4 linked regions of the Stegostoma tigrinum genome follow. The protein of the gene in region 4 purifies or fractionates together with the protein of the main gene of each other region. This does not show direct contact. Links are inferred from orthologs where the notes say so. Each region holds a gene or a part of one and is shown on either strand. Other genes may lie near its edges.

Region 1 (8,495 bases), on a different chromosome or scaffold from region 4:
TTAGATACACAGTAAAGCTCCATCTATTCTTTTGAACTCAAAGCAAAGCTCTGTCGAGTCTAGGCCCATAAAACATTCCCAGGACAGGTACTGCACAGGGTCAGATACAGAGTAAAGTCCTTTATGGACTCTCCCCAGGCACGCGATGGAATGAGACAAACAGGAGGCTGGAAGAACACATCAAGCCAGCAAGCATCGAGGAAAGGAGAAGTCTATGTTTCGGGTATTACCTTTGTTTAGGACTGGATGTGGGAGTTGGGGGAGCTGCAGATAAAGAGAGTGGGAGGACGGGGTGTAGTGGAATGGTGGTGATAGATGAACACTAGTAGTAAGCATGACCTGGTTGATCAATGGGAGGGATGAATCTGGTGGCTAGAAGGGAAAGTCTGAAGGTGGGATGGAAGGGAAGAGGTGGCACTGGCAAGGGAGATGGGGGATGGGTGGGAAGACTATTTGAAACTGGAGAACTGTAGGGTGCCCAGGCGGAAGGTAAGGTGTTGATCTTCAAATCTGTGTTCTGAGTCACTGTGACACTGGAGGAGGTTGAGGACGGACATGTTGGGAGGGATGGGAGTTAACAAGGGTGGTTACTGGGAGGCTAGGCTGTCCATTTTGGACCAGGCAAAAATGCTCGGTGAAACGATTGCCGAGTGTATGTTTGGTCTCATCGATTAGGAGAAGACCACATCGGGAGCACTGGACACAATAGACTAGGTTGGAGGAGATGCAGGTGGTGCCATCTGGAAGGGCTGTTCAGGGCTCTGGATGAAGGTGAGGGAGGTGGTGTGTGGGCAGGTGTTGCATCTTTTACAGTTACAGGGGAAGGTACCAAGCGCACCAACCACTCCAACCTTCCCCTGTAACAGTACAAGATGCAACACCTGCCCACACACCACCTCCCTCACCTCCATCCAGAGCGCTAAACAGCCCTTCAAAGTGAGACGGAGCTTCACCTGCTCCTCCAACCTAGTCTATTGTGCCCAGTGCTCCCGATGTGGTCTTCTCTACATCGGTGAGACCAAACATACACTCGGTAATCATTTCAATGAGCATCTTTGCCTGGTCCAAAACGGACAGCCTAACCTCCCAGTAACCACCCATGTTAACTCCCATCCGTCCCAACATGTCCGTCCTCAAACTCCTCCAGTGTCGCACCCTACAGCCCAGAGGACTCAATGTTGAATTCTCTAATTTCAAATAAACTTCCACTCCATTGCCCGACTCCCTTTCCAGCCCCACCGCCTCCCTTCCATTCCACCTTGTGACCTTCCGTTCCAGCCATCAACCAGAATCATCTCTCCCATTGACCAACCAATTTGTACCTACCACCAGTGCCCGCCTGTTACCAACATTCTGCCTGCTGTCTTTATCAGCAGCTCCCCCAAAGCCCACATCCAATCCTGAAGAAGGGTAAGACCTGAAATGTTCACTTCTCCTTCCCACCAGATGTGCACTGGCTTGCTGTGTTCTTCCAGCCTCCTGATGGTCCACCTTGGATTCCAGCATCTGCAGGTTTTTTATCTGTCTCTACCAGAATGGAGTTAGATGTACAGTGAGTGACGGTCACCCTCCCCAGGTACAGTACGGGGTTAAATGGACAGTGAGTGATGGTCAGTCTCCCCAGGTACAGTACGGGGTTAGATGGACAGTGAGTGACGGTCACTCTCCCCGGGTACAATACAGGGTTAGACGGACAGTGAGTGACGGTCACTCTCCCCAAGTACAGTACAGGGTTAGACGGACAGTGAGTGACGGTCACTCTCCCCAAGTACAGTACGGGGTTAGACGGACAGTGACTGACAGTCACTCTCCCCGGGTACAGTACAGGGTTAGACGCTCAGTGAGTGACGGTCACTTTCCCAAGGTACAGTCCGGGTTTAGACGGACAGTGACTGACGGTCACTCTCCCCGGGTACAGTACAGGGTTAGACGGACAGTGACTGACGGTCACTCTCCCCGGGTACAGTACGGGGTTAGACGGACAGTGACTGATGGTCACTCTCCCCATGTACAGTACAGGGTTTGACGGACAGTGACTGACTGTCACTCTCCCCGGGTACAGTACAGGGTTAGACGGACAGTGGCTGACGGTCACTCTCCCCGGGTACAGTACGGGGTTAGACGGACAGTGACTGATGGTCACTCTCCCTATGTACAGTACGGGGTTTGACGGACAGTGAGTGACGGTCACTCTCCCCGGGTGCAGTACAGGGTTAGACGGACAGTGACTGACGGATATTCTGCCCGGGTACAGTACAGGGTTAGACGGACAGTGACTGACGGTCATTCTCCCCGGGTACAGCACAGGGTTAGACGGACAGTGACTGACGGTCACTCTCCCCGGGTACAGTACGGGGTTAAACAGACAGTGAGTGACGGTCACTCTCCCCAAGTACAGTACAGGGTTAGACGGACAGTGAGTGACGGTCACTCTCCCCGGGTACAGTACGGGGTTAGACGGACAGTGACTGATGGTCACTCTCCCCATGTACAGTACAGGGTTTGACAGACAGTTACTGACTGTCACTCTCCCCGGGTACAGTACAGGGTTAGACGGACAGTGGCTGACAGTCACTCTCCCCGGGTACAGTACGGGGTTAGACGGACAGTGACTGACGGTCACTCTCCCCATGTACAGTACAGGGTTAAACGGACAGTTACTGACTGTCACTCTCCCCGGGTACAGTACGGGGTTAGACGGACAGTGACTGACGGTCACTCTCCCCGGGTACAGTACGGGGTTTGACGGACAGTGAGTGACGGTCACTCTCCCCATGTACAGTACGGGGTTAAACGGACAGTGAGTGACGGTCACTCTCCCCAGGTACAGTACAGCGTTAAATGGACAGTGACTGACGGTCACTCTCCCCGGGTACAGTACAGGGTTAGATGGACAGAATGATCGTCCATCCTTCCTCTCCCATGGAAAGGCCTTCCCCGGTCCTCACCGTCTCCTTGTCCATCAGCAGCACCTTCATGCCAGGCCCGCTCTCCTCGATCATCTTGGAAATATACTGCTTTACTGCCAGGACCACATTCATGGCTGCAGCGGACTTCCAGGACACAGTTGCCGAACTCCGCGCTGACTACAGCTCGATGTTTGCGCTGGTGTGTCGGCTCTGACCGCTCCTCACTCCACCCGAACTACAACTCCCGGCGTGCCCCACTGGCCGACGCCGACTTCCGATTATGTTTGATCAACGTTGCAGGCGCAAGGTGGGTTTATTGGTTGACGTTGCTCATTCGTCGTTCAGGCAGTCGGCTATGTTTTGGGGTTTGTGTTTCAGAGGATACAGTAAAGTGAATGTCCCAATAAAGAACAACAAGAATGCAAACATTTTTTCTCACTCAAAACCAGACCCCGGAAATATGGCCAGGTCGTAGTTTGCATTGAATTTGCAGCACAGCAAAAGGCTATTCAGCCCATCCAGTGTTTGCGAATTTTGTGTTGCACTGAAACCTCCTCCTAGCCCATCAGCAACACCTGTTCCATTCTCCCTGATGTGTTCACCCCCCCCCTTCCATACTGCTTCACTGTCGTCTAGATGAAAACCTCTTTCGTTTAATTTCCTCTTTAATTGTAACATCGCTGCGACCAAGCTTGGAGACGAGTGCGCTGTCACTCTTGTCCCATTACTTGATGGGCCACATGAAATAAATATCCTCTTTCCAGTTACCACCGGTCAAATCAAAGTAAAATTCTGTGGATGCTGAAAATCTGAAATAAAAACAGAATTTTCTGGAGAAACTCAGCAGATCTGGAAGCATCTAGGAGACAGAAACAGACTATGCAAAGCATCCTATCAGGGCACATCGTGGGTGGTATGGCAACTGCTGACCCAAGATCACAAGAAACTCTAGGCAGTCATAGACACAACGCAGTCCGTCACACAAACCACACTTCCATCAATTGACTCCATCTATACTCTTGTTCCCTGGGGAAAACAATCAACATCGTCAAAGACTCCACCTACCTCAGTTATACTCTCTTGCGCCCTCTTCTGTCTGGCAGAAGTTTTAAACGTTTGAATACACTTACAAACAGATTCAAGAACAGCTTCTTCCCCACTGTTATCTGACTTTTGAATGGACCTGTCAAATGTTAATGTGGATCAATCTCTCTGCAACTTATCTGCAGCTGAAGCACTGTTTTCTGCACTCTGTTATGCTACCTGATGCACTTTGTATGGCATGATCTGCCAGTAGGGCACACAAAACAACACATTTCACTATATCTCACTACATGTGACAACAATACATCAGTCAAATCAAATAAAAAGAGTTATCATCTGGTATCTTCAGTGTTCTAGCCCTCGCTATTCTGAAAAACAGTCATATTTGAATTAAAACATTTAACTCTGTCCCTCCACAGATGCTGCTAGACATGCTGAGTTTCTGCAGCAACCGCTGTTTTTCTTTCACCAATTAAATACTTTATTGGATTTTAAACAGCAGGATTTACCAAGTACATTTTTAATATGCCCAACTATGGGTTTATCACCAAAACAAAGTTTAATAAATAAATAAGTTAAGAAGAAAAGTTTATCCCTTTAAGTATCTCCAAAATATACACAAACACTAAATAAAAAGCAAAAGAACTGCAGATGCTGTAAGTCAGAAACAGAAACAGAAGTTGCTGGAGCAGCTCAGCAGGTTTGGCAGCATCTGTGAAATCAGAGTCAACATTTCAAGTTCAGTGACCCTTCCTCAGAACTGAGGGTAGCTAGGAAAATATTGATTTACATGCAGAAGATAAGGTGGAGGGAGGGGATAAGGTGTAAGCAATAGCTAGAGATTGAGCCCAAAGAGAGAGAAGACCAGTTGGCTAGACGAAGGAACAGATAACGATCTAGCCAGGAGAATGAATAACTGTTAGTGGCTAACAATAGGCAGTGTGTAATGGCAGACTATATGATAACAAGGCCTGGTGTGTGGGGTTGGGGACTAGGACATGAGAGAGTTTGGGCCCTAAAATTATTGAACTCAGTATTGAGTCCAGAGGCCTGCAGGATTCCCAAGCGGAAAATGACATGCTGTTCTTCCAGCTTGAGCTTCACTTCACTGGAGAACTGCAGCAAGCCTGAGTCAGAACATTGGCCAGGGGACAGGGTGGTGTGTTAAACTGGCAGGCAACTGGAATCTGAGGGTCATTTCTGCAGGCAGAACATAAATGTTCTGCAAAGTGGTCACTCAGTCTATGTTCATTTCCCCAAGGTAGAGGGGGCCACATTGTGAGCAGCAAATACAGTAAACTAGATTGTGACAAGTGCAGGTAAAGTGCTGCTTCACCTAAAGGTGTGTTTGGGCCCTGGGTATTGGGCAGGGAGGAGGTAAATGGACAGGTGTCACACCTTTAGCGATTGAAGGGGATGGTGCCATAGCGCTGTGGGGAGTTCTTGGGAGTCAAGGAAGAGTGAAACAGGGTGTCTTGAAAGGAATGGTCCCTGTGGAAGGCAGACAAGGGAGAGAAGGGGAATATGTGTCTGGTGATGGTGTCTCACTGGAGCTGGCTTAAATGGTGACTGATGATCTTCTGGATGTGGATGCTGGTAGGGTGGTAGGGAAGGATAAGGAGAACCCCATCATTGTTACGAGCGGAAAGTCGGGGAGATGGGTCAGACCCAGTTGAGAGCTGTGTCAACAATGGTGCTGGAGAATCCTTGGTTGAGGAAGAAGGTGGACATTTTGGAGGCTCCTTGTCGAAGGTGGCCTCAGCGGAACATATACGACAGGGACAGAGATACCAGGAGAATGGAATGAAGTCAAACATACACAAACGCTGTTCAGGAAAAGAGAGAACAAAAAACATTTTTGCAGAAATTATCCTTCTGGAAGAAAAGGAACTACTTTGACCAATAGATTATTTATGTTGTCAGGGCTGGAGTAATTCAACTCTGATGAGAGACACGGTAGGGTGGAATTGTTTTCCTTAGAGCAGAGAAGACTGAAGGGTATCTGATTGAGGTGTATAAAATTATGAGGGATATACACAAGGTAGACCTGGAAAATTTTTTCCCCTTATATTGACCTTAAGGGTCAATAACCAGCGGACAAACTTTTAAGATTTCGTTTTAGAGGTTTGGACGGAATTTGAGGAGAATTATTTTCATCCAGAGTGTGGTTACCTTAAAACTGTGTCCCCTGGCTATTGACTCCCTTTCAAAGGGGAAAATTTTCTCTCTGTCTACCTTCTGTATTCCCCTCATAACTTTGTACACCTTGATCAGAAAGTGGCGGGTGTCCGGAACTCACTGCCTAAGAGTGTGGTAGAGACAAGTACCCTCAAGACGTTTAAGTATTTAGATGAGCACTTGATATGACACAGCATAAAGGCCTGGAAAATGGGATTGGAATAGATGATCAGCATGGGCACAGAGGGCCCCTTTCCATGCTGTAATATCCTATGACTCAGTGAGTCAAATGATAGAGTGTAGGATGATCTGAAATCTGTTGCTGTGATGTTCTGGCACATGTGGTCAAGTCACTAATCATACACAGGTGCCTCTGAAGTCTTTCAGACACAGCTTGTTCAGCAAACACAACCTTGAGATGTTCCCTCAATCAATCTTTGAAAATCTTCGAACAAACAGGCTTCCCCCTGAAATACTGTACATTGTTTTCTTTTCAGAATCGAGAATGCATTTTGGCAAGAAGAATAGAGGAACTGAATATTATTTAAGTTTAAAAGGACTGCAGTAAACTACAGCACAGAGAGAATTAGGCAATGTCATGCATAAATCTCAAAGAGCTGCCTTACAAGTTCTGCATATAAGAAGGAAGGTAAATGGAATGTTAACCTTTATTTCAAAGGGAGTTGAGTATAAATGTGGAGAGGTCTCGAGAAGTTTTTGCAAAAATTATACAAGGAACTGGTTAAACCACAGTGAACAGTTTTGGCACCGTAACTGAGGAAATATAAATTAGTACAGAAAAAGTTAATGAGGCAGATCCCAGGTATGGAGGCACTGACTTATGAGGTGACATTTAGTAGGACTTTAGAAGAATGAGAGGCAACCTTATTAAAACATGAAAGACTCTTAGGGAACACAGTGTGGGGCTGGAGGAACACAGCAGGCCAGGCAGCATCAGAGGAGCAGGAAAGTTGATGTTTCTGGTTGGGACTCTTCCGCAGTTCCTGCTATCTCAAGGATTCTTAGGGGACATGGCAGGTTAAATGCAGAGAGGTTGTTTCCCCGCTGTGGGAGAGTCCATAACAATGCAGCATAATCTCAGAAAATGGGATCATGCGTTTAAAATAGAGATGAAGAGAAATTTCTTCTTATTAAATTTGTGTAATTCTTTATCACAGAATGCTGTCAACGTTGGGTTGTTAAGTATTTTCAAGGTTGAGATAGATTTTTAAACAAATGGCAGGAAAGTGGAGTTGAGGATGATCAGATCAGCCACAATCTCATTGAATGGCAGAGCAGACATGATGAGCTGAATGGCCGACTGCTGCTCCTATGTCATCTCATCTTTCGGAGAGATCAACTGGGCAGCCTCTTCTGAGCAAGTTTGACACCAATTCAGCTTGCTCTTTGCAGGCTTCCCTGCAACTTATCCAGATAAAACAAGAACCTTTCCAAGGCAGTCAGTGTTCAACACAAGATCTACCGCAAAGCAAGTAGTTAGCACCAGTCATTTGATCCTCAGGAAACCTTGGTGAAAAAATATCTACATTTCCACATGACTTTCAGTGACCCCCTCAAAAAAATTCCCAGTATCTCCATAAAACATGATTTTTTTTGTTTCAATAACACTTCAATACAATGTTAAATATAAACTGTCTCTGTAACATTTTAGCATAACCTCTAAATTTGGACGTCCCTACAAGTGGACACATCTTCTCCATCTATCTTGTCAAACCCTCTCATGAATTTGAAGGCTTCCATCAGGTTTAAACACACAGCCTTCTTTCTGAGGCAAAGAACTTCAGTCTGTTAATATTTCGTCATAGATCTATTCTCCCTTTTTGGCCAAGTCCTTGTAATTTTGTTTTGTACTTTCACCATTGTCTCTGTACCAGTTATATAGTGTGGAGAATCGAACTGTGTGGAGTACTCCTAGGGCTATCTAACCATGATTCAATATATAAACTCTCTGTCTTTCGGTTCTTTCCCTCCCTGGTTGAACCCTGGTTATTTTTGTTTTGTTGATAGATTTGACAACCTGCATCAATACTTTAATTGTTATTGGGTCTGGCTCAATTGCGATAATTTCTGAATCATTCAGTTGTGGGTCCAAGCCCCATTCCAGGATTTCAGTTTATGACCTAGGCTGACAATTCATTGCCTGTCAAGTGTTGTGAAGAGTCCATCACTGCATTTGAAGAAAAACAGAAACCTTTCTTTTGGAGTTTTCTCGCAGAAAAAACAGCAGCTAAACTGTTTAAATATGCACTTAACTCCTTAATGATTGCAGCAACCTGCTGTAGGCAAATTGACTAATGCATTCACTTACACAGCAGCATTTTAAGGATCATTCATTGACAGCGA
Region 2 (7,801 bases), on a different chromosome or scaffold from region 4:
GAACTTTAACTTTTATATCTGGTCTATCCTTTTTCATCACTATTTTGAAACTAATGGAATTATGATCACTGACCCCAAAGTGCCCCCCCACTGACACCTCAGTCACCTGCCCTGCCTCATTTCCCAAAAGTAGGTCAGGTTTTGCTCCTTCTCCTTTAGGTACATCCACATACTGAATCAGAAGAGATTCTCGTACACACTAAACAAATTCCTCTCCGTCAAAACCCTTAACACTATGACAGTCTACGTCTGGAAAGTTAAAATCCCCTACCATAATCACCCTATTATTGTTGCAGATAACTAAGATCTCCTTACAAATTTGCTCTCAATTTCCTGCTGACTATTGGGGGGTCTATAGAACAATCTCAATAAGGTGATCATCCCCTTCTTGTGTCTCAGTTCCACCCAAATAACTTCCCTGGATGTACTCCCAGAAATATGCTCCTGTAGTACAGCTTATCAAAAACACAAGGTCTTTAACTGTCAATTCTTCTACATGCTGCTTCCTGGGCAAAGTCTATTAGCTACAGTGGCTCAGATTAAATAATGGATTGATTTGCGAGTGCATAAAATATTTTCACAAAATATTTTTAAAACACAGTGTTCACAGTATATGTGATACATTGATTTATAATATACAAACTTTAACAATTATATATTGAAAATTACTACATGTTTTATCACTCCTGTTTTTGTTGGCATCTTGTATCATGTTCAATTTTAAGTGTTAAAATGAAGTCATTTTAAAAAGTAGTTTTAGAAACTCTGGGATACAAGAATATGCCCATTAGAAAACCTTCCAGGCCTTCTTTTAAAATAAATCACAGATTAGCACTTGAAAACTGTCATTTTGAAGAGATGACAGAGGAACACCATCACAGTATGAACTTCAGATATATTCCAGGATACTACTTGAGTTCCATCATGCCACTCTTGGGCAGCCACCATCACTTCACCCCCTCAAATTCAACTTGTTTGTCCATTTAATGTTCAGCACACCCGGATCTTGGTGGAATTGAACTGAGCAAGTTCTTCCTCAGTAAATGCATCCTAACAACACTGTTATGACACTTGCTGTTCCTTGGCAGATGATTGAATTGAGACTGGATAATAGGCTGGATGTCCTTTTTTTGTGTTAACAGGACACGCCTTTGCAACTTCCTTTTTGCTGGATAGATTCCTGTGTGGTGACTATATTGCAATAGCTTAATGAGAGGTGTGGCTAGTTGTGGAAACATGTCCTCAACACAACAGCCAGGATTCCACATCCAGTTCACTTAGCCATTTCTTAAGGTCACATGGAGTGAATCAAATTGGCTGAAAATTACATCTGTGATAATGACAACTCATACCCTATCTTTGTTTTTTGTTCTGCACATCCTACTCATTTAAATGCATGAGACTTTTAAGTTCTTTTTCTTGACCTTTCACGTACATTAAGATAAAATGGCTGACTTCTACTTGGCCTGTATGGGAACTTCCACATTGCTATTTAGAGGGAAGGCAGCTTAAAGGGAACATTCGTCAGTAATTTCAGGATGGATCAGCTGGCTGGCACATCTGGTTGAAATTGTTTATCAAAACCTTCAGCCTTGCCTTTTGCAATCAGAAACTCAGCTCATTCCTTGTTGACCATGGGGATTTTCATAGAACCTTTCCCTTCCTATAGTTGTTTAATTGTTTAGCACTATTCACATGTGGCAGAACCACAGAGCTTTGATCTGACCTATTAATGTGAGATCATTCAGCTCTCTCTTTAGTATGGTATTTGGCAGTTCTTTAATGGTCAATGTGAAGAGCTGTTCCGACACTATATTACAAGTATAACTTGGGCTGCATGTGCTAAAGCAATTACATTAGTCAAAAACAGGGTGGATTACTTGCAGGTTGTGATGCTTCAACTGTTGAATATTGAAAGAGTTTGATCACATTGAAGACAATCCAGAATTACCAATCCCCAAAAACCTTCGGACTTTTCTGAATTGTCACTCAAATTTTTCTGGACCTCTCTGAACACTTCTGGCAAAGCAGTTTAATAACAAAGCAGGCAAATGGTGCACCCTCTGAGCTCACCCTTAAGTGCTGAACAAAGACCTATTGAATGACTGACAATAGACATCCCTCAAAATAGTGGTCTGCACTCAACAGGATGCATATTTTCCATGCAAGGATATCACATTGCCTCCTTCTGTTATGTTGTTTTAAGGACAACATAGCATACTACGATGGTCACCTGAATGAAATTATTTACGGCAGATTGTGAACAAATGTAGCCTGTGAAAATTTTTTGCAGGATTCAAGGCAATGCATTGAACAACCCACAAATCTGTGACTTTGCTGTCCCATTTAGAATTAAGACTGGTAAAACCCTAAGATGTAATACATAACAAGGGAAAGAATAGGAAGCCTAATGCATGCAGCTTCCATTGTTTAATGGGCATGAGTTCATGTGTTGTAGCTTCACCAAGTTGGCACATTATTTTTAGATATGCCTGACATTGTTCTTGAACCAGAGTTGGACTCTTGGCTTGATGGCAAAGTTAAAATGAAATAAATGCAACAGTGTACAATTTTGATGCGATTGAGGGTCCAAAGCATAGCAAGGAGATCCAGTTTTGAGCTGCCAGATCTGTTGTGGAATTACATCATTTAGCATGTATCCAAAATGAACGTATGCTCCCAGGAAAATAGGAATTTCTCTACCAATGTAAAGTGTTGTGGTCACTCCTACAAATACTGTTCTGAATAAATGTGTTAGTGACAAGTTAATCGCTGAGGGCAAGTTCATTTAGGTATTTCCTCTATGATTGTTCCCTCACTCTGAAAAAACCCAATCTTTAGATAACACAGTGTGGAACTGGAGGAACACAACAGGCCAGGCAGCATCAGAGGAGCAGGAAAGTTGATATTTCAGGTCGGGACCCTTCTTCAGAAATTTCTGACTCCAGCATTGGCAGTTCTTACTAACCCCCAATCTATAGATCTATCTTTGAGAACAGATCATGTTCAGATGCTACTGAGCAGTTCTTGATAATTGATTTTGAATTTTCCATCCCCACATGTTGGTTATCCTTGTGCTTCCACAGTGCTTCTTCCAATAGGTGTTCAACATGGAGTACAGCTTCATCAGCTGAGTTAGGATGGTTGGTGATAGTTAGCTAGAAGTTTACTTGTCGGTGATGCTATGAGGATTCATGGGATCCAGAATCAAGAATGAGGATTTATAGCATCACTACCTCCTGATTGTATAGGATTGTACCATCATCTCTGTGACAGGCCATTCTCAGATGATGGTAAGGTCTGGTATATTGGCTATCAGGTATGATTCTGTGGATAGTTCAGTGTCAAATTATTACTGGATTGATCTGTGGGACAGCTTTTTCAATTCGGCACATATCCGCTGATGTTAATGAAGAGGATATTGCTAGATGCAAGGACTAAGTAACTGTTTGTTGTATTGAGTTATTCAGCTGGGTTATCCTTTCAGTTTTATTCCAACTAGAGTATTTCATATTGAGTGACTGACTTGTACATTTAAAAGGGAAATTAAGAGTCAACCACTTTTCTGTGGGTTTGGATTTCCATATAGTTGGGACCAGCAGATTTCCTTCCCTAAAGGACATAAGTAAACTAAGTGGGGCATGAATACAACAATCCAGTGGTTTAATGTTTACTGTTATTCATTTTTTAATTAACTGAATTTAAATTCTCCAGCTGCCCAGATTTTGAATTTGAACTCTGGTTATTCATCGAGGAACACAACTGCTGAGCCATCTTACCAATGTTCAGAAATAAGGCTAAAACAAAAATGAAAATTATGTTTGGAACACAATATCTAACAGTTCTTGCACGGATGGATTGCCTGGTATTTTCTTTACTGCACCATCTGCACCAAGGCCAAGGTACAATGAGGCAGGTCAATAGAAAATAGGGTGGATTGGCCTTCTGCTGGATACTCACCCTCAACTTGGAAATATAACATAAAATATGCTAAACCCTATCCACCAACACCTTTCCCCATCCAGACCCAGCCCTACTGTTAGTCTGAGCTAAAGAGTCTTGAATGGACTTTAAATGGTGGAAGGGCTTGGAGTTAGAAAACTGACCAAATTCCCTGCTATCCATACGAAAGCTCCATCTCATTTCCACCTTCCAAAGTGCATAAAATGACAGTCTTTGAACTGATGATTGCATTAGTCGATTAAGTGATGCCGTTTCAGGAAGGAAGCTCTATTCTTCCTGCATTGACGCAAGAGCATTGACATTTCAGTGCCTGAAATAAAGTTGAAGGGTTTGTTTCAAATAATGAAATAAGTTTACTACCAGCCTAACTTGCAGAACAACTGGAACTGGACTGAATTGGTGAGCAAAGTTGATATTATATTTTGTGGGCTTCTCCTTTGAGGTTACTGAGAAGATTTTCTCCAAGATTTTGTTTTATTTTGTAGTTGCTTATTGATTGTGTGATTCAGTTTTGCCGCTTAGTACTTCCTCTGTGAAAGACAGAAGTTGAATTTCTGAAATGTATGCTGCAGAGAGAGAGGGATAAAGATGCAAGCAGTGTAGTACACAAGGAGCATGGAAAAGGTTTCAACCATTGTACTGGCAACTAAAGAGAGTAGTTTTTTAAAAATAATTTATTAATCTGGTCCATCTAGCAGAGTTATGCACCGGTTTGTTACCTCATGGGTCCATGTGACTAATATTATATCACCACAATCAGTATTTGGAACTCAACATTTGCTCTCTTTTCTCAGTGAAAAGGTTTCTATTTTAAATTAAGCTCTACCATTTTCCACAAAAAATGGCATAGTAGACTTAAATTCAACAAGGTTTCAAATACGGAATGGTAATACCTGAGTTTCTGTAGAAAGTTGATCACTTTTGATTCCCTCTAAGTCAGCTCTTTTATGACCATGTTCAGACATAGCAACAGCAGAGTTATTCCTATAAGTTGAAAATATGGGTCACAGGAAATGTCCCACACCTACCTTTCATTGCTTTGCCGAATACTGATTAGAAGAAATGTGAAGAAATGTTCATTTTTGCAAGTTATGTGAAAAGTACAACTGTATCTTATTGCAAGTTTGATGAGATCCTTTCATACCCAGAAGGAACACAGCAAGTTCTTTGTGTGAGAACTAATGATTGATTACAAGTTGCTGCAAGTCTGTAGTGGCAGTTGGATTCTTAAGTCTGTTTAAATATCTGAGCTGAGGGATTTGAGTGCAAAATATATGGTAGTAAAATAGTTTTAGAAAATTACGGATTCCAGCTCTTCAAGGACTACAGGATTTGCAGTAATATTTTTTAAATAACACGGGAGAATGAATAGAAGATTGATGCAATTTTTGTCAGGGTTCATTTTAATATAATTAAGATGGCATCTCTAGCATTTTTTTAATCCCAGATCCAGTGGTTGGTGTTCATTTATCAAAGATTTTCAATGTTATAATTCTTGGAGTAACACTAACATTCAAATGAGTTATCTTTTACTTACAATAGTTACAATACGAGCAGCATTCTACAGCTGAGGGGAGAGGTGAATGCTAAATCAGCTGGAAAGTTGATCCAGTTTCCTGTCGGTTCCAGTGTATTCTGGAATTTTCCTCCAGGGGATAGTGGGGATAGGGTTGATGCATTGCATAACATTAAATGAGAGGAATATATCACCTACTGGTGAAATTTTCAGCTCATCCACAATATCTAAAAAAGAATTCAATTGTCACGGAGTCATAGAGTCATGCAGCATGGAAACAAACCCTTTGGTCCAACTCATTCACGTTGACCAGATATCCTAAATTAATCTGATCCCATTTTGCAGCATTCGGCCCGTATTTCTCCAAACCCTGCCTATTCATGTCCCCATCCAGAAAACTTTTAAATGTTGTAATTGTACCAACTTTTGCCACTTCCTCTGGCAGCTTATTGCACACAGACACCACTGTCTGCATGAAAAGTTTCCCTTTATGTCAGTTTTATATCTTCCCTCTCTCATTTTAAACTTATCCTTCTCGTGTTGGACTCTGCTACCATGGGAAAAAGACTTTGGCTATTCACCACATCCATGTCCCCCATGACTTTATAAACTTCTATAAGGTTAGGCCTCAGCCTTTGACACTCCAGGGAAAATAGCCTCAGTCTTTTCAGCCCCTCCCGATAGCTCAAACACTCCATCCCCAGCAATATCCTTCTGAATTTTTTCTGCACCCTTTCAAGATTAACACCATTTTTTCCTATGGCAGGGAGACCAGAATTGAAGGCAGTGCTCCAAGAGTGGCCTGACTAATGTTCTGCACAGCCGCAACATGACATCCTAATTCCTATACTCAGTGCATTAACCAATAAAGGTAAATGTACCAAACGCCATCTTTGCTACCCTGTCTACCTTTGAAACCATCTTCAAGGAATTGTGCACCTGCACCCCAAAGGTCTCTTTGTCCGGAAACACTCCCCAGTTGAGCGTATTAACAACTCATTCAATAATACGCTACCCTGCCATAATATAGCTGGCTGAGGACAGGATTCTTGTCAGTCTGTCCACAAGTTGCCATCTTACCTTCCGGCGAGTGCGGGAGCAGCTCATTCCCCATTAAAGGTCTGCCCACAGTGTCAGTTTCTGCTTGAATGCTGATGACACCTGCTTTATCTTACATTGACTGCCATTTCTGATCCCTTTACTGTCTCTAAATTGTCAAGATGCTGAAAATGTCCAGTAGTAGACAAACAGAAATTTCCAGAAAAGAAAACGGATAAATGGGACCACTAAAGCAATAGTGTTCAGTTTTGCCGTAAACTTTGTTGCCTAGCATTGACCTCATCCTTCCCACTGTCCACTATGTGGTGATGAACTTGACAATTCTTAACCCTATTGTCATATTTGACTTGAGATCAGCTTCCAATCACAGCTTTCAAACCATCACTAAGCCTGTCTATTTCAACCTTTATGGCATCACCTTATAGATTCAAACCTTATCTCAGCACATAGCTGCTGAAACCGTCATCTCTACTTTTGTTATTTCTAGACTTGACTATTGCTATGCACACCAGACTAGCCTCCCACACTCTAATCTGTCAACATTCTCCAATGAATTTAAGATGAACCAAAATTCTGCTTCCCATGTCTTAACTCACACCAAGTACCACACGAACATGAGAAGTTAGGAAAAATGACCAGGAGTAGGCCATCTGGCCCCTTGAGTCTGTGTCACCATTCCAGAAGATCATGGCCAATCACTATCTTAATTTTGCCCTCCAGTTTCTCCCCTTTCCCTTTGATTCATTTAGTACCTAAAAGTCTACTCACCTCTGACTTGAATATATTCAATAAATGAACATACATAACTCCTTGGGTAGAGAATTCCATTGAATCATAACCACAATCATCTTATCACAGGATAAGAAATTTATCCTTAACTCAATCATAGTGGCTGACCCTTTTTCTGAGATTGCAACCCTCCACCCTAGATTTCTCAGTCTGTGGAAATTTTTTTCAAAATTTACCTTATCACACCTCTTAGGAATTTTATATATATATCTCTCCTTATGGGCAAATCCACTCAGCCCAGCAACCAGCCTGGTATCAGTCTAGAGCTATCTGCCTTTAGGGAAGCAAACCAAAAGTGCAGACTATTTCAGGGGTTTAGTGTAGTAAGGCAAGTTTTAATTCTTTTAATCCTGGAGAAACTAACATAGCATTTATCTTTTGACTTGCTTTATGGATCTACATGTAAAAATTCTTTGCTTTATCTACAGGAACACCTTGAATACACACATTTCCTAGCCTTTCACCATTCAAAAA
Region 3 (7,601 bases), on a different chromosome or scaffold from region 4:
AAACGTCAGCTTCCTGCTCCTCTGATGTTGCTTGGCCTGCTGTGTTCATCCAGCTCTATACCTCGTTATCTCAGATTCTCCAGCATCTGCAGCTCCTACTATCTCTGATGATAAATCAAGTTTTATTTTATTTTATTTATTCATTCACAAGATGTGGGCATCACTGGCTACGCCAGCATTTATTGCTCATTCCTAAATACCCAGACAGCAGTTGCTGTGGGTCTAGAGTCAATGTAGGCCTGACCAGGTAAGGATGGCGGTTTCCTTCCCTAAAGGGACACTAGTGAACCAGATGGGTTTTTCCTGACAATTCAGCAATGGTTTCATCGTCATTGTTAGACTCTTAATTCCATATTTTTATTGAATTCAAGTTCTTCCATCTGCCATAGCAGGAATCGAACCTGGGTCCCCAGAACATCACCAGATCTCCAGTTTAATAATCTAGTCATTATACTATTAGGCCATTTCCTCTCCAAGGTTCACTTCACCCTCTTCAGTGAGGTATAAACAATCCCATGTACTATCTGAAGAACAGGGAGACACTCCCAATGTACAATACCAGCAAAAAGAATAAGTCAGGAGTGTAAATGAATACTCTGCACATGCCAGGATGAATGCAGCTCAACAACACAACTCTATCTAGGACAAAGCAGCCTGCTTGACTATACCCTATCCACTGCCTTCCCCATTGAAGTACAGTTGCAGTAGTGTGCATCTTATCAACAAGATGCAGTAACTCACCCAGGCTCTTTTGACACACCTTCCAAAACCATGACCTCTACCACTTAAGAGGGTCAATAGCAATACACAAATGAAATATTAATACCTTCAACTTTCTCTCCAAACTGCACACCAAAACTATGTTACCAAAATCCTGGAACCGCTATCCTCGTAGCGCTGAGGATAAATGCACACTGTACAGATTGCAGTCGTTCAAGAAAGCAGCTCAACACTTCTCTCTGAACAATACATGTTGGTCTAGCCAGCAATACCCACATCCAGTGGGCAAATGAAAACACTCTGGAGTCAGAAGCAGAATACCAAAATTTGCAGATGACACCATGTTGCAGGGCAGAGTTAATATAACGGAGCACTGAGTAATAAAGACAAGTTTAATAATTCAGAACGGCTGTGTAAATGGGAAACAATTTTTCACTGCAAAAAGGGAGTGCTGTACTATGGTGGAATAATAAGCATGCTAAAAAGTGAGCAGAGAGATCAGGACATGGGTACACATTCACAAATCCTTCAGACCATAGTAGTTTTAAAAATGTGGTGAATTTGCTGGGGGGGGGAGAGTAAGTGACAAGTGAAGGAGGAGCAGGCAGCAGACAAAAGGATGGATATTGCTAAGTCAAAGAGAAAGACAACGCAGACCATAATATGGGAAAATTCTGACGTTCTGAAGAAAGGTCCTGAAACATGTACTCTGCCTCTTCTCCACAGGTGCTGCCAGACCAGCTGAGTTTCTCCAGCAATTTATTTTATTTTCATATTTCCAGCCTCCATTTTTTTTTGGTTTTATTAATAATAGAAGTGTGCATTAACAAAGCTCTAAGGAATAGAATTCAAAACCAGAGAGGTTTGTTAAAACTTACATTGAGTCAGTTAAACCGAACTTGGGGGATACGGTGTACGGTTTTGATCTCCAGATTACAAAAGGGACAGCGAAGCATGGGAGAAAGTGTAGAACAGATTTACAAGGAAACTTGACAGGTGGGTTTCAACTATCAAGAACGGCTAGGGCTCTGGTGTCTGGAAAAGTGTGGTTTTGTTGCGATCTTAAACTCTGAAAGGCTTGTCAGAGTTAAATTTGGAATAGGTAGTTTAACATTGAAATGGGTTATACATAGTCACAAGGCCAACAGGGAATTTAAGAAACTTTACCAAGAGATTGATAACAATTGCATGTTTTCCAAGAGTAGTTAGATGAATTACATGAATACCTTTGAATAAAAAAAACATAAAAGCATGAAAGATAACAAGGTTTAGAGCTGGATGAACACAGCAGCCCAAGCAGCATCAGATGAGCATGAAGGCTGACGTTTCGGGCCAAGACCCTTCTCTTGGGATGTTATCCCATTCTGATGCCACTTGGCATGCTGTGTTCATCCAGCTCTACACCTTGTTATCTCAGAGGTGAGATGGAGTTGGTTCTGACCATCAATTTGGCCCGATGGCCTCAGTGTCTTATATCGCTATTCTAAAATTCAGTTCTATTTTTGTGGAACCTTACGATACATGCACTGTATTTTCCTCCACAAGCATGCAAACACCAGAAGTCCCTTGCAGTCAAATTGTTGCACAGACATTTTCTTACCTGAAATCTGCATGAGGTAGACACGGACAGCATTGGCAGCAGCTCCACAAATGAAGACACCACTCAATATAGCACACAGTGAGGTCAGGCTCCCAGTTACATTCTCTCCAACAGGATTCATATAAATGGTATCAATAACTTTTCCCAAAAAGAAGGGAGCAGACATGGTCACCAGGCTGGACACACCCAAGAAGCCCACAGCAGCTAGGGAGAGAAAACAATACAAACTTGTAGATATCAGAGCAACTCAAGGGCAGGCTGACTGTACTGCAAAGATAAGGGGGTCGATTAATGGGCAATTTATTACACAGAACTGGCTGCTGATGCACAAATACAGCCAACTCCCTTGATTGAATACCACAACCGTGAAAACACATGCCCTTTTACAATCGAGTTTCCGCCTGCAGCTTTAGAAACTGACAATAATATTGAGGACACAAGAAATTGCTGCCCGGGAAATTGACATCCTCTCTTGGGAGCATTTCTTTTCGAAAAAGCATGATGGGCATGTAATTCTCTAGCATCATTTCATGGTATTGCCCAATCGGTTAATGCAGCTCAGCAGACAAGTGAGATTTCTGATGACGGGGCGTGTGTGTGTGTGTGAGAGAGAGAGAGAGAGAGAGTGAAGGTGAGCTAAACATAAATTGGGAAATGGTGCTGACGAGGCTCAGCGGCTGATCTGAGGAATATTCTGGACGCGGATGTCACCACCTCCGACCCCCAAAGAGGGGAAGCACTGACCCGGTTCCGCTCCATACCCTCTCCCGGATGGCAGCGCTTACCTGAGAGCGGCCACCGCTCCGGGTAGGCCAGGGTTAGCAGCCTCCTGGCATCCACCAGTGACGCTCCGGTGGTGGGCAGCCGGCTCCGCTCCGTCTCCCGCTCGGCGTCAAGCCGCTGCTTTGGGGGCTGCAGGCCCGAGGCCGGGGCCCTGTTACCATGGTAACCCCCGCCGGCCGCGAGCCCCGAGCTATATCGCGGGAGCCGGTTCCACTGCAAACTCTCGGCGGCTGCCTGCTGACAGCGTGGGGTTAAGCCGCGCCGGCTAAGTAACAGAATCCGGGAGGCCATTCGGTGCAGCCGAAACAGTGAAGGGAGAGTGGAAGAGAGTCAGGGCCTGACCCCTGGCATCACTCGGACCATCCCAAAGGTCCCGAGCGTTTCCTGGTGCTGCTATTTATTGTTGCAGACGCCGAGCTTGCACCGCCCCCGAGCTGCCGCCAGTGAAATGTTTCAAACATTTCCCAACACACCCACATCGGCGCAGTGACACCCTCCAAAAACTTAATCTCACAATCTGGCTCTCTCCGGTACTCTACTGTTTATTCTCTCTCTTACTCCACACTCCGGGTATTTCCCTATTTTCTAATTAACGTTGCCTACTTAGCTATTTATAAATAGTATTTTTACACGCATTGGCCATTGCTCCTGCAACTTTACTAAATTACATAAACATTTGAAACTTTTAAAACGGTGTAATTTTACTGATGATTCGTCACTTAAACTGTATTGACATATATATAACTGCTGAAATATATACATATGTATAATATATATATATCAACAGTTGTTGCATTTGTCTTCCAATTGATGTTGGCCCTTTTGCATTTCGCCTGCTATATAAATATGGAGTTGTGAACAAGGAGCGAAAGCAGAAATTGCTGGAAATGTTCTGCAGGTCGAGCAGCATCTATAGAGAAATCAGAGTTGGCGACTGAGGTAGGGCCACTCGACCCGAAACATTAACTTGCATTTCAGAAACTTTCATTTCTGAAGAAGGGCCTAGGCATCTGCAGTTCCTACCATCTCTGAAACATTAACTCTTGCTTTCTCTCCACAGATGGTCCCAGGAATTCTAAGCTTTTCCAGTAATTTTTCAGATTTCCAGCATCCACAGTTCTTTTGGTTTTTATTTAGCACCGAGAATAAGCTGTTCTCATGTTATGATTAGGGATAAAGAAATCAAAAATCTAAAAGTTTGGACAGTGTCTGCCCTGTGCATTATTTCCTAGCTATACTTCAGTACGAGGATTTTTAATTCCCGGTCTTGCCATTTTCATTTTAAGCTTAATCCGCTTGAAGGAACAATATTATAAACTTTTTACTTTAGTACTCACCATTTCTGCGACTCCACAGTTCTCAGATTTTAACACCTCCGCCCAATATAATTGGCCCTGGGCGTTATGATACCAAAATTTCTGCTTTTTGCTGAAATGAAATAACTGATTTAGCAAAGAGCAAGGAACTACGTTCTTCCACGCCCTGGTACAAACAGTGGCTCAGTGGTTAGCACTGCTGCCTCAGTCTCAGGAACCCCAATGCTGCATGGGCTTCCTCCACGTGCTCCATTTTTCTCCCACAGTCCGAAGGTGTGTAAATTACGTGGATTGACCTTGGGAAATGCACGGTTACAGGGATGGGATGATCTCACATCTCCTCGACTCAATGGGCTAAATGGCCTACTTCCGCACTGTAGTTACTGTATGAGTACCATAACCTGCAGGAGGCTATGCACAAAATGCTGGAAAGTAGACGAAATGGGATGGCTCGTTACACAGCAGATGCAGATACGACGCACAGTGGCCTCTTCCTGTGCCGTTAAATACCATTTTATCAAGTTGCAACTCAAGTATTTCTAATAGCCTTGAAACTTTTCCCCCACTATACATATGCCCAGCCTTCAATGGTATAATCTCGCATGTGGTGAGCAAAATCCACAACCCGTCTGTATTGTTGAACCAAAACAAAACCTGAAAGAGCTGTGGCAGATGTAAACCAGGAACAAAAACAAAGTTGCTGGAAAAGCTCAGCGGATGTGGCAGCATCTGCAAAGGAAAAAAGTTAACGTTGAGTCAGACCATAAACATGAACGCTTTCCTTTTCTCCTTCATAGATGCTATCAGCCCTGCTGAGCTTTTCCAGCAACTTTGTTTCTGTATTGTTGTACTGCCTTGCTGCATTACAACTTACATATTCACTTGCTTCCTTAACGTCAACTTCTTTGCCACTGGCTCAATTTTCCTCCCAAGACATTTGTACAGACTAGTAACATTATAGTTGCATTTGCATGACCGAAGAGAATTCCATTTCGTAGCAGCAGCACTGCTAACATGCAACTTTTCAATACCTCAGGCCACTGTCAGAAAACCCTCATTTCTGCGAAAGGCTGATTTTGTCCATGGCTCAGTTCGTTGAATAAAAACAATTTATTGAGCAAACTGTGTGGCCAATTACTACTGGCTTTGCCTCAACATCTCATACAAAACTTTTTTAGGTCCTCTTCAGCTCGAGTATTCTCCCTTCCTGCATCTCACTTGATTTGTCTTCAGTCACCCTGGCCAAAAGGCCAGAATCCAATTCTGTATTACATGTATTAAGCTAAGTATTTTCAGCAAAAGCTATTTATTCTGCATATCAATGCTACAGATTAAATTGTTTATTGACATTAGAATTTTATTTTCATGTAATTTAGATCTATCCTCGTTAATGGGCATGATTCACTGAAGGTATATTTTTAGAATTATAGAATTCTGACATTGTGGAAGCAGGCCATTTGGCCCATGTCCATACCTACCCTCCAAGGAGCATCTCACCTAGACCCATTCCCTACCCTATCACCATAACCCTGCAATATCCATGATTACACATCTACACATCGCTGGACACTATGGGCAATTTAGCATGGCCAGACACCTCCCCATTTTGATAGTTTTTTTTTAAAAAACATCAGCAAGATGACAAAGCAGATCAAAACACAAAGCTATAATAAACTATGAAACCATATTATGTAGGAGCTAACTGAATGAGGTTTGATATACAGGCAACACAACTGTTTTATTCTGCACAAATATTTCATAGCAAGTCTTCCTTAGTTTTCGTGCCCATCCTAACAAGCTAATGTGTATCATTTACACAACTTATGAATTATTGGAACTCTGGAAACCTGTGTTGTCACACTTCAATATTAAGCAACAAAAACATTGCTACAAATGAGTTAAAATGTCTTTCCAATCGCCACTTAAACACAATGTACAGCGAGGCAAATAATTAGCAAATGAACAAAAAACAAAGCTGCTGGAAAATCTCAGCAGGTCTGGCAGCATCTGTGAAGGGAAAAACAGAGTTAACATTTCCAGTCCAGTGACCCATCTTCAGAACGGAAGATGAGTCACCAGACCGGAAACATTAATGGTTTTTCCTTCACAGATGCTGCCAGACCTGCTGAGATTTTCCAACAGCTTTTTAATTAGCAAATGAGGCTCAACATAAAAGAGCAGCATAGTGGCTCTCTGGTTAGCACTGCTGTCTCAGTGCCAGGGACCCAAGTTCAATTCCAGCCTTTGATGACTATGTGTGGAGTTTGTATATGTTCCTGGTATAGCATGGGTTTCCACCAGGTTCTCCTGTTTGCTCCCACAGTTGCAAAGACGCGCTGGCTAGGATTAGCCGTGGTAAATGCAGGTTACAGGGACTGGGTAGTATGCTCTTCAGAGGGTCAGTGCAGACTCAATGGCCTCTTTCCAACTCCGCAGGGATTCTGCAATCAGTAGTTGCGTGGTGGTATACTTTGGTTGGAATAAGGAAACAGCTTAGAACTTAAAAGATGCATGGATAGAGAAACTACGGGATATCATGAGTACAGATATACCAAATCACTCAAAATTGCATCATGGGTTCACAGGGCTACAAAAACCCAAACTGAGCAGCAGGCTTTATTTCTACAGAGAGGCTTGAATAACTTACTCTAAACCTGTACTGCACTTTCATTGAAAAAGCAGCTCTGGCCATCATATTAGATAAAAATAATATACAGTAGACACAATGAAAAGTGTGTACAGAAGATTTAGGATGATACCAGAAATACATGGGTAGATATTTCTCGGGAATGGACTGACAGCGTCCGTAAGAAAAAACCCACTAAGTGGTGGTCAAACAAAAATCTTCAAAAGAACGTTTTCTCTCAATAGGGGGACCATTACATAGAGCTATCAACATGACACAATCACCAAGAATTGCAATAGTAAATTCAGAGAAAATGTCTCGTGAAGTCAGAATATTGACTTCACTATCCACTAGGAGTGGCCAAAACAAGCAAATGCACCACTAATTCAGAGACCAAGGTTAAATTCTGGGTGGTGAGTTAAAATCCCACCAAGGGAGATGAAATGTGAATTCAACTAATAGATTTTGAAGTTAAAAGCCTGGTCTACATGTGATTCCAGATCTACAGAAATGTTTGACTCTTAACAGCCCTCTGAAATGGCCACCTGGTTAAAAA
Region 4 (8,347 bases):
TGGAGCATACACTGAAATGGTGATGCTGGGTGCCCAAGTCCAGAGGTGTAAGCAACAGGTGGTAGAATAGAAATCTGCGCATTAATGAGGCAAGATTTGCAGTGAATGAAACTGACAAGAAATAATCACCATTAATAGGCAATTCATGCTCTCTTAAAAAAAATCTTGTCTCGATTCTCCCCCTACGTCCACCCCGAAATGCTGTTTGTCAATGCAACAAGTTGCTCCTGATGTTGAGAAAAGGCCTTGCCTGACTTCGTATTGAATTCTCCCAAGTTTCTCATTATACAGCGCGCTAGAAGACAACTCAATTCAAAAATTTAAAGAAAACTCGTGTTTTTTTTCGCCATAGCCCATTGTTGTTCAGGCCCATATAAGAGTCTGTGTTACGTAACCACTGTTGATTATCATAACTGCTTCACTATTGTCCTTCAGGGACGGAAATGAGCCAACCTATGTGGTCTAGCCTACATGTGACTTCTGTCCCATAGAAATGTAGTTAACTCTTAACTGCCTGCTGGGCAATTATATATGGGTAATAAATGCTGGGTTATCCAGTGATGCCCATGTCCTATGAATAACTGAAAATATTGTCCTGTGAATAAATGAAAATATTGTCCTGTGAAATATCGGACAAGTTTTGGTGATGTCCACCTCCCAAAAGAGAATAAATAAGATAAAGTCAGAAGTTTCCAGTCCGACCTGGTTATGACATGGCTAGTTCAGTTAAGGTTCTGGTCAATGGTGACATGTCATTATGCTTAAAGGTGCCATATAAACACAACTCATGGTTAAACAAATTAGTTTGACATGAAAGGACGCAAGAAAGGATAATTACAAATACCAACAATTTCAGTTATGAGGAAATAACCATTTGTAGTTTGATTTGTTTCCTTTGCATTTCAAAATAAGGAAGGGAATTGACAGGTTAGGGCAGGTTAGACCTAGACAAGTCTGTTCGTGCATAAAATACCAGCAATATTTAGAAACAAGATGGGCCAGAGCAGCATAAAAGCCTTCTTACTTAGGCTGGATATTACAACACACCCAGGTGGGGCACATAATATCGGTCAGGTACCTTGCCCACCATGTTCCCATCCAGGCCCGAGTTCACCCCCAAATTACACAGGGTCCATCATTGGTAAATAAACAAATATCCACCTCACCCCTACTTCCCCATAATTTTCAATAATTTGACCATAGACTTCGAGATTGAATAGGAAACAACCTGTGAGGTCCTTTCACACTCTATAATCTCTAAAGAATAATGTCACAATGGAGATTGGATCTGATAAATACAGCAGTTGCTAATCTAAGAAAGAAAAAAGTCTTTCACTGCCCATGAGAGTAAAGGGTAATTACGAAGTCACTGTTACTAGCTTCATCTGTGGAATGTTAATACATTCTAACCTTTACTCAACGAGTTTTGTTAATAGGGCTATTGAATTATGGTAAACTGAGGGATATTAGTTTCCCTTCCCTTCCTTTCTCCCATGCTAGGCAACCAGTAACTTTAGCCGTGGAAATAATCACAAACAGATTGTTCGTGTGGTTTGTTTTCAGTATTTTTAATTGCTGTTTAAACACCCAGTTATGTTCTTGACAGATTTCTGAAGGCTTCCATGATTTTGGCTGATCATCCTGACTTATTGCAAACAAAGTATATTCTAACTTTGAACTATATCTGAAAAATAAATTAAATTTTTGAATACCCTTGAGGATATTTCACTGTCGATCATGGCTCAGATAGCACATTTGCTTCTGAATCACAAAATTTCGGATTCAAGGTTTAAGCACAAAAATCAAGCCTGAGCTCTAGCGTAATACTGAGAGAGTGCTGCACTTTTGGAGATGCAATATCAAAACAGAAACCCCATCTCTCTATTGAGAGCTGGATGTCAGAGAACTGATAGCACTATTTCGAAGCCAAGAAGGGGACCTTTCCGTGGTGTCATGGCCAATATTTTCCCTCAAGGAATATCGCTGGAAACAGTTTAGACGCTTATTTAAATATTGTTGTTTGAGGGAAATTGCTCTGTATAATTTGGCTGTTGTATTTTCTACATTACAACTCAGACTATTATCACTCTTTTCTTGATCGTTCACTGCTCCTAGGTGGCTTTACATGTTTGTTCTTTTCCTTTACTCAGATCTCCCAGAGCTGTGTGATAGTTCCTTGCCTTTCTTTAGCCTACAGAAGTTCTCCCTGCCATAATATTTCTTGATTTTCTGTTGACCCCCAGTCATCTTTCTAGTTGATACGTGGTGAGTAGTGCATTTTTGTGGTATGAGTGGATTTGTTTCCACTGCATTGTTCAAATTAAGTTACCAAAATTTCTTTCTCAGTAAAATGCAATAATCATAATTCTTTGTCATGTTATTTTTTTAAAATGTCCTCTTGTGCAATGCTGTTATTTCTCAAATGTTAGTCTACATCTGATCTGTGAAAAATATCCTCCAGTTATGGATAAACATAATACATTGCCTTTATTTTTAAAAATAAACTTAACAAAAGGTGGCAACTTGCTGATTAACTAAGATCATTTTGAATAGTGGCAATAGAACATGCACAAATTTGAAGAAATAAACTTTTCTAACAGAGACGATATTCCATTGCATTTACATATATATATATATATATAAACTTAAAGACAGAAATTTAAAGTTGCATTATCTTAACTCATTTTTATAAAATACCACACAGTTTGATTATCCTACTGGTGCCTATAATATGTTGCAATATAAAATGATCCAGCAAAATGAGTTACTGCTTAAAATCACCTTCAGATGGCACCAACAGTCTGCAGTGGAGTTTGTTCCCTAAATGTAATAATCAGAAAGCCTTGCAATTACCTCTTCACACGACACCTCAGAACACTGCACACGGTTCCCTAAGATATGTATTAAAGTGGTGACAGCCATCTCGCTCAAAATGTCTTCTCCTGGGACTAGGAGATCCACCACTCTCCTGAAGACTTCTTGTTTAGAGATGAAAAGAGATCCATTTCCCTGCGAAGCTGCCTGCTTTAGAGCAGCCAAAATCACAGAGAGCAGCAGAAACAGCCTAAACATGATGCAGTGAACAATTAAAAGGGAGATGAACTTTCAGTTCCTTCACACAACAGCTTATTCAGGAAAGCCTTGAATACTTCTATACAAAGATATTCAAATGGCTGCAATTTAAAGTTGATGAGTTTTATAGCTAACCTTGTGGCAAATGTTCACCCTCTCCAATACCCACCTCCTTGACTCTTGATTGGCTGGAAGATGTTAATGATGTCAGCCATTACATTAGAAGGAAACTCCCAGAACTGCAGATCTTACGTTAATAATGATACCAACTATTTGGACGATCAAAGCAAACATATTCACTTTACCTTGGACATTTCAATTCTATTAATAATTATTTCAAGAAAAAATTCCTTTAACAGATTTTATAATATGTGCATACCCATTCTGAGTAAAACTTTGCTCTACTTCCTGCACCTATGTACTCTCCAAGTCACCTGGCTTCCCTTTAATAAGTTATTGAAAGTAAACAAAATGTTACTGTGACTTTAGAAAGGTGAAAATCAATACTTTATCCTGACATTGAAAAACAACCTTCCACTCCCTTCTTCCCAGATTTAATTATTTTTCTTGGCTTCATCGTTGCTTATTAAATTTAACCTTTCACCAAATTATTTTACTTTAGTTTTTAGATTTGTTCCAATTTCTATACCGCCAGCTTCTCAGCTTATGTCCATGGCGGCTTTTTTAAAAAAATCATTTTTGGTATTTTTTAATTTTAAAAACATAAAGTACCAGAAATACAGATAAATATATTGGCCCCTTCTAAAAAGGAAAGATGGCTTAACCTTTTAGGTGAGTATAAGCTTGCTCATTTTTATTTATATTTAAAAAACAATATGTGAATTTCTACAATGACAGTAACATACATTGTTGGAAGAAAACGAAACATCTCTTTACCCCTTTGCATTCAAATTTTTCCATTCCTTATCTGAAGGAATTGGAATGGAAGTTGATTTCGGTGCATCCTCTGGCCGGATAACCCTCAGAATATGCCAGAGGCCCAAGGCTCATTTGGAATTGAACCACTGTGAAAGCCTGCCAGGCCCCCCGATGCAGATATACCATGCACATAGTTTGGGTCAGCTAACACACTGGAAGGAATCTTCTGGCAGATTCTGAGAATAAAGGAGAGGGAAATGGAGAACTGGAGTCTCAATGAACATGAGTGAACAGGAACTATAGTGCTACAGATGTTGGAGAAATTGCATTCTCCCTCACTCCACAATTAACTATGTTTGGCAGTTTCTAACAGTTGCTTTAAGGACTGTTTGTGAAGGGAACAAAAGAACATAGAACACGATGTTGTGCCAACCTATAATCCTATTAAGATCAATCTACCCAGCATATCGGACATTTTACTATCCTCTGTGTACCTATCCAAGAGACAGTTAGAAGTCTCTAAACGATCAGACTCTAATACCACTGCCGACAGCATTTTCCACATGCCCAACACTCTGTGTGAAGAACCTACCTCTGGCATCTCCCCTATGCCTTCCCTCCAATCACCTTAAAGTTATGCCCCCTCGTGACAGTCATTTCTGCCCTAGGAAAAAGCCTCTGACTATCCACACTATCTGTGCCTCTCATCACCTTGTAAACCTCTATCAAGTCACTTCTCATCCTTCTTTGCTCCAATGAAAAAAGCCCTAGCTCCCTCATCCTTTCCTCATAAGACCTGCCCTCCAGTCCAGGCAGCATCCTGGTAAATCCCCTCTGCACCCTCTCTAAAGCTTCCACATCCTTCCTGTAATGAGGTGACCGGAACTGAACACAATATTCCAAGGTTTAATCTTATAGAGTTGCAGCATAACCTCACGGCTTTTAAACTCAATTCCCCTACCAATGAAAGCCAACATATCATACGCCTTCTTTACCCTATCAACTTGGGTAGCAACTTTGAGGGATCTATGGACGTGCACCCCAAGAACGTTGTTCCTCCACACTGCCAAGAATCCTGCCATTAACCCTGTATTCTGCATTCAAATTTGACCTTCCAAAATGAATCACTTCATATTTTTCCAGGTTGAGTTTCATCTGTCACTTCTTTGCCCAGCTCTGCATCCTGTCAATGTGCCACAGCAACCTACAACAGCCCCCCGCACTGTCCACAACTCCACCAACCTTCGTGTCATCAGCAAACTTAGTAACCCACCCTTCCATTTCCCCATCCAAGTCATTTATAAAGATCAGAACACCACTGGTCACCAAGCTCCAGGCTGAGTAATTTCTATCTATTACCACCCTTTGAACAGCCAGTTTTGTATCCAGACAGCCAAATTTCCCTGAATCCCATGCCTCCTTACTTTCTGAATGAGCCTACCATGTGGAACTTTATCGAATGTCTTGCTAAAATCCATATACACCACATCCACTGCTCTACCTTCAATGTGTTTTGTCAAATCCTCAAAGAATTCAACAAGGCTTGTGAGGCATGACCTGCCCCTCACAAAGCCATGCTGACTATTTCTAATCAAACTGTTTTTTTTCCCCCAAATAATCAGAAATACTAAGTCTCAGAATCCTCTCCAATAATTTGCCCATCACACAAGACAGACTGACAGGTCTGTAATTTCCAGGATTATCCTGATTCCATTTCTTGAACAAGGGAGTGACATTTACCACCCTCCAATCTTCTGGCACACTACTCCAGTGGACAGGGAGGATGCAAAGATCATTGCCAAAGGGACAGCCATCTCTTCCCTCCCTCCCTGTTATAACCTTGGGTATATCCCGTCTGGCCCAGGAGACTTATCTATCCTCATGTTTTTCAAAATTTCTAGCACATCCTCCTTCCTAACAACTTGTTTGAGCATATAAAGAACCAAAAATAAAAACTAAGCAGAGCGTATCAAGCACAGCTCAGCTCAGCAGCACTCATTTTTTTCATTAAGATGATGAAACCAACATTAGTACATGGACATTCAAGAAACTTAATGGTTTCAAACATGCTACAGATATTCTGAGAGTGTGAGAGACAACGGGTGTTCTGCACCTGAATATAGACACAGCAAGGGTGCTCTTGTGGTCACTAGTAGTGTCCCTACCTCCGAGCCAGGTTCGAGGCACACCGATTCCCAAGATGTGTTGTAAGGCACGCAGACAGGTTGAATAAAATTATCAGTAGGCACAGTAATTTCCAATTTCTCTTGCTTACTTCCCATAACAATTGTTTCTCATTGCCCAGCAATTCTATGACTATCCTATGCTACCACACTGAGTGACAACATATAGCCTGCTGTCATCTACAAACAACATTCACACAAAAATCACAAAAAACCTGGTTGATGAACATTAATTATTTGTTGTTTAACATAGTGGAACTTAGTAACCAGCTTGAGAGATAGAAACCTGAGTTGGAAACAACTGTGCTAAGCTTAAATGAGAATAAAGACAGGTTAAGCAAGTTTTTTTTTTAATTCAGTCATGAAATAGGCATGACCGTCTGGCCAGAATTTATTATCTATACTTCGTTGCTCTTGAGAAGGTGGTGCTGAGCAAGAAGGCAAAATGTTAGCAGATGGAATATATTGTGGGTAAATATGAAGCACTTTGACAAGAGTAGAGGAGCTGAATATTATTTAAATGGTAATAAAAACTGCAGAAATCTACAAAACATAACGATTTGGGAGTCTTCATCCATAAATCATAAAAAGCTAGCATCCAAGTTCAGCAGGTATTAGGGAAGGCAAATGGAATGTTGGCTTTTATTTCATAGAAAATAGAATGTAAAAAGTAGGGGTAATAGGAACTACAGATGCTGGAGAATCTGGGATAACAAGGTGTAGAGCTGGATGAACACAGCAGGCCAAGCAGCATCATAGGAGCTGGAAGGTTGATGTTTCAGGCCTAGACCCTTCATCCGAAAAATTTTGAGGGGTCTAGGCCCGAAATGTCAGCCTTCCTGCTCCTACGATGCTGCTTGGCCTGCTGTGTTCATCCAGCTCTACACCTTGTTACCTCATAAACGGAGGGGTGTTTGCTAAAATTATAGAAGATACAAAAGTTTGAGCTCCTTGTTTAAAGAATGATATACTGCTGTTGGATGCAGTTCAGAAAAGATTCACAAGGCTGATACCAGGAATGGAGAGGCTGTCTTGTGAAGAGAGGTTGAGTAGGTCGGACCTGTATTTATATAGAAGAATGAGAGGTGACCTTACTGAAATATATAAGATTGTTGAGGCTTGACCAGGAAAGGTTATTTCCCCTCATGAGACAGTCTGGGACCACAGGCTATAAACTCAGAGTAAGTGTCACACATTTAAAACAGAGATAAGAAGGAATTTATCTTCTCAGGGGATGGTAAATCTGTTCTCTACTGTGGAGGGCTGTTGAGGCTGGGTTATTAAGTATATTCGAGGCTGAAATAGATTTTTCATCTTTAAGGAAATCAAAGTTATGGGCAATAGCAGGAAAATGGGTTGAAGATTAGCTGGACAGCCATCATCTGATTGAATGGTATAGCAGTCTTGATGGACTGATAGGCCTATGTCTGCTTTTACATCTTATTGTCTTATTTCCCCCAGCCAATGGCCCAATGCTATACTTTTATCCTTATGCAGAGACCATTTGCTCATGTGACATCATCAAGATGGTGGTGGAGTAGGGCTCCTGAGCCAGGGCTCATCCACTCCGACCTATTTTCTTTTTCTCTCCTTTCTTGTTTGTTCCTCTTTTCCTTTCCTTTACTTACCTCTTGTCCTGAGCTTGGATGGCACCAGAGGCAGCGAGGAATCCCAGCATGGACGCAAGTGGGCCCACTGCGGGACTCGTGACTTAGCGAGTAGTCTCTACTTGCTTTTCTGGGACGAGCGCGGGACCTGGCATCGGAATCAAATGGTGCTATATTGTTGGAGGGAATGTCAGTGAGGTAGGCCCAGCAGTGAAATTTGGTGCCCGAAGATCAACGACTTCTTCGTTGTTTGGGTTTGGCACTGCCAGCAACAAAGAGGAGGGATGGCAGAGAAGGTGTCATTGATGATGAGCAGACTCGGGACTGATGGACTCTCTTTAAGCTAGATCTTTTTTATTCTCATTTTTAAACTATTCAAAATGGCAATGGATTTCTGCAACAGTGGGAAAGGTTTTTCACTTTTTTTCCCCACTGGAAAACACACGTGACAATAAAATTCATATAAGCCAGGTTTCAGAACTTGGCCTTGGCCTGTTTTTGCACAACTCAGATGCAAAATGCTGCAATAAGTTTGGTGTTCCTGGCTGCCTGAAAAACATGCGATTATTCTATCAGTGATAATGGGAACTGCAGATGCTGGAGAAT

The links.
Region 1: the proteins of zinc transporter ZIP4 (region 4) and vps45 purify together in Homo sapiens (affinity purification with mass spectrometry; 3 studies listed by BioGRID and IntAct, counting the BioPlex papers as one, with this or other methods). This does not show direct contact. The link is inferred for Stegostoma tigrinum from reciprocal best matches to the Homo sapiens genes SLC39A4 and VPS45.
Region 2: the proteins of zinc transporter ZIP4 (region 4) and agpat4 purify together in Homo sapiens (affinity purification with mass spectrometry; 3 studies listed by BioGRID and IntAct, with this or other methods). This does not show direct contact. The link is inferred for Stegostoma tigrinum from reciprocal best matches to the Homo sapiens genes SLC39A4 and AGPAT4.
Region 3: the proteins of zinc transporter ZIP4 (region 4) and abcb10 purify together in Homo sapiens (affinity purification with mass spectrometry; 3 studies listed by BioGRID and IntAct, counting the BioPlex papers as one, with this or other methods). This does not show direct contact. The link is inferred for Stegostoma tigrinum from reciprocal best matches to the Homo sapiens genes SLC39A4 and ABCB10.

Annotation. Positions count from the first base shown.
Region 1 is NC_081400.1:976,670-985,164, forward strand, and holds the start of vps45 (vacuolar protein sorting-associated protein 45), read right to left. Parts: upstream 3,156-8,495; 5' UTR 3,042-3,155; coding exon 2,949-3,041; intron 1-2,948. UniProt on the Homo sapiens protein: May play a role in vesicle-mediated protein trafficking from the Golgi stack through the trans-Golgi network.
Region 2 is NC_081362.1:24,999,770-25,007,570, forward strand, and holds the start of agpat4 (1-acyl-sn-glycerol-3-phosphate acyltransferase delta), read left to right. Parts: upstream 1-4,248; 5' UTR 4,249-4,362; intron 4,363-7,801. UniProt on the Homo sapiens protein: Converts 1-acyl-sn-glycerol-3-phosphate (lysophosphatidic acid or LPA) into 1,2-diacyl-sn-glycerol-3-phosphate (phosphatidic acid or PA) by incorporating an acyl moiety at the sn-2 position of the glycerol backbone.
Region 3 is NC_081362.1:803,837-811,437, forward strand, and holds the start of abcb10 (ATP-binding cassette sub-family B member 10, mitochondrial), read right to left. Parts: upstream 3,538-7,601; 5' UTR 3,395-3,537; coding exon 3,106-3,394; intron 2,525-3,105; coding exon 2,321-2,524; intron 1-2,320.
Region 4 is NC_081355.1:158,138,507-158,146,853, forward strand, and holds the start of zinc transporter ZIP4, read right to left. Parts: upstream 3,188-8,347; 5' UTR 3,073-3,187; coding exon 2,854-3,072; intron 1-2,853. UniProt on the Homo sapiens protein: Selective transporter that mediates the uptake of Zn(2+). Plays an essential role for dietary zinc uptake from small intestine. The Zn(2+) uniporter activity is regulated by zinc availability.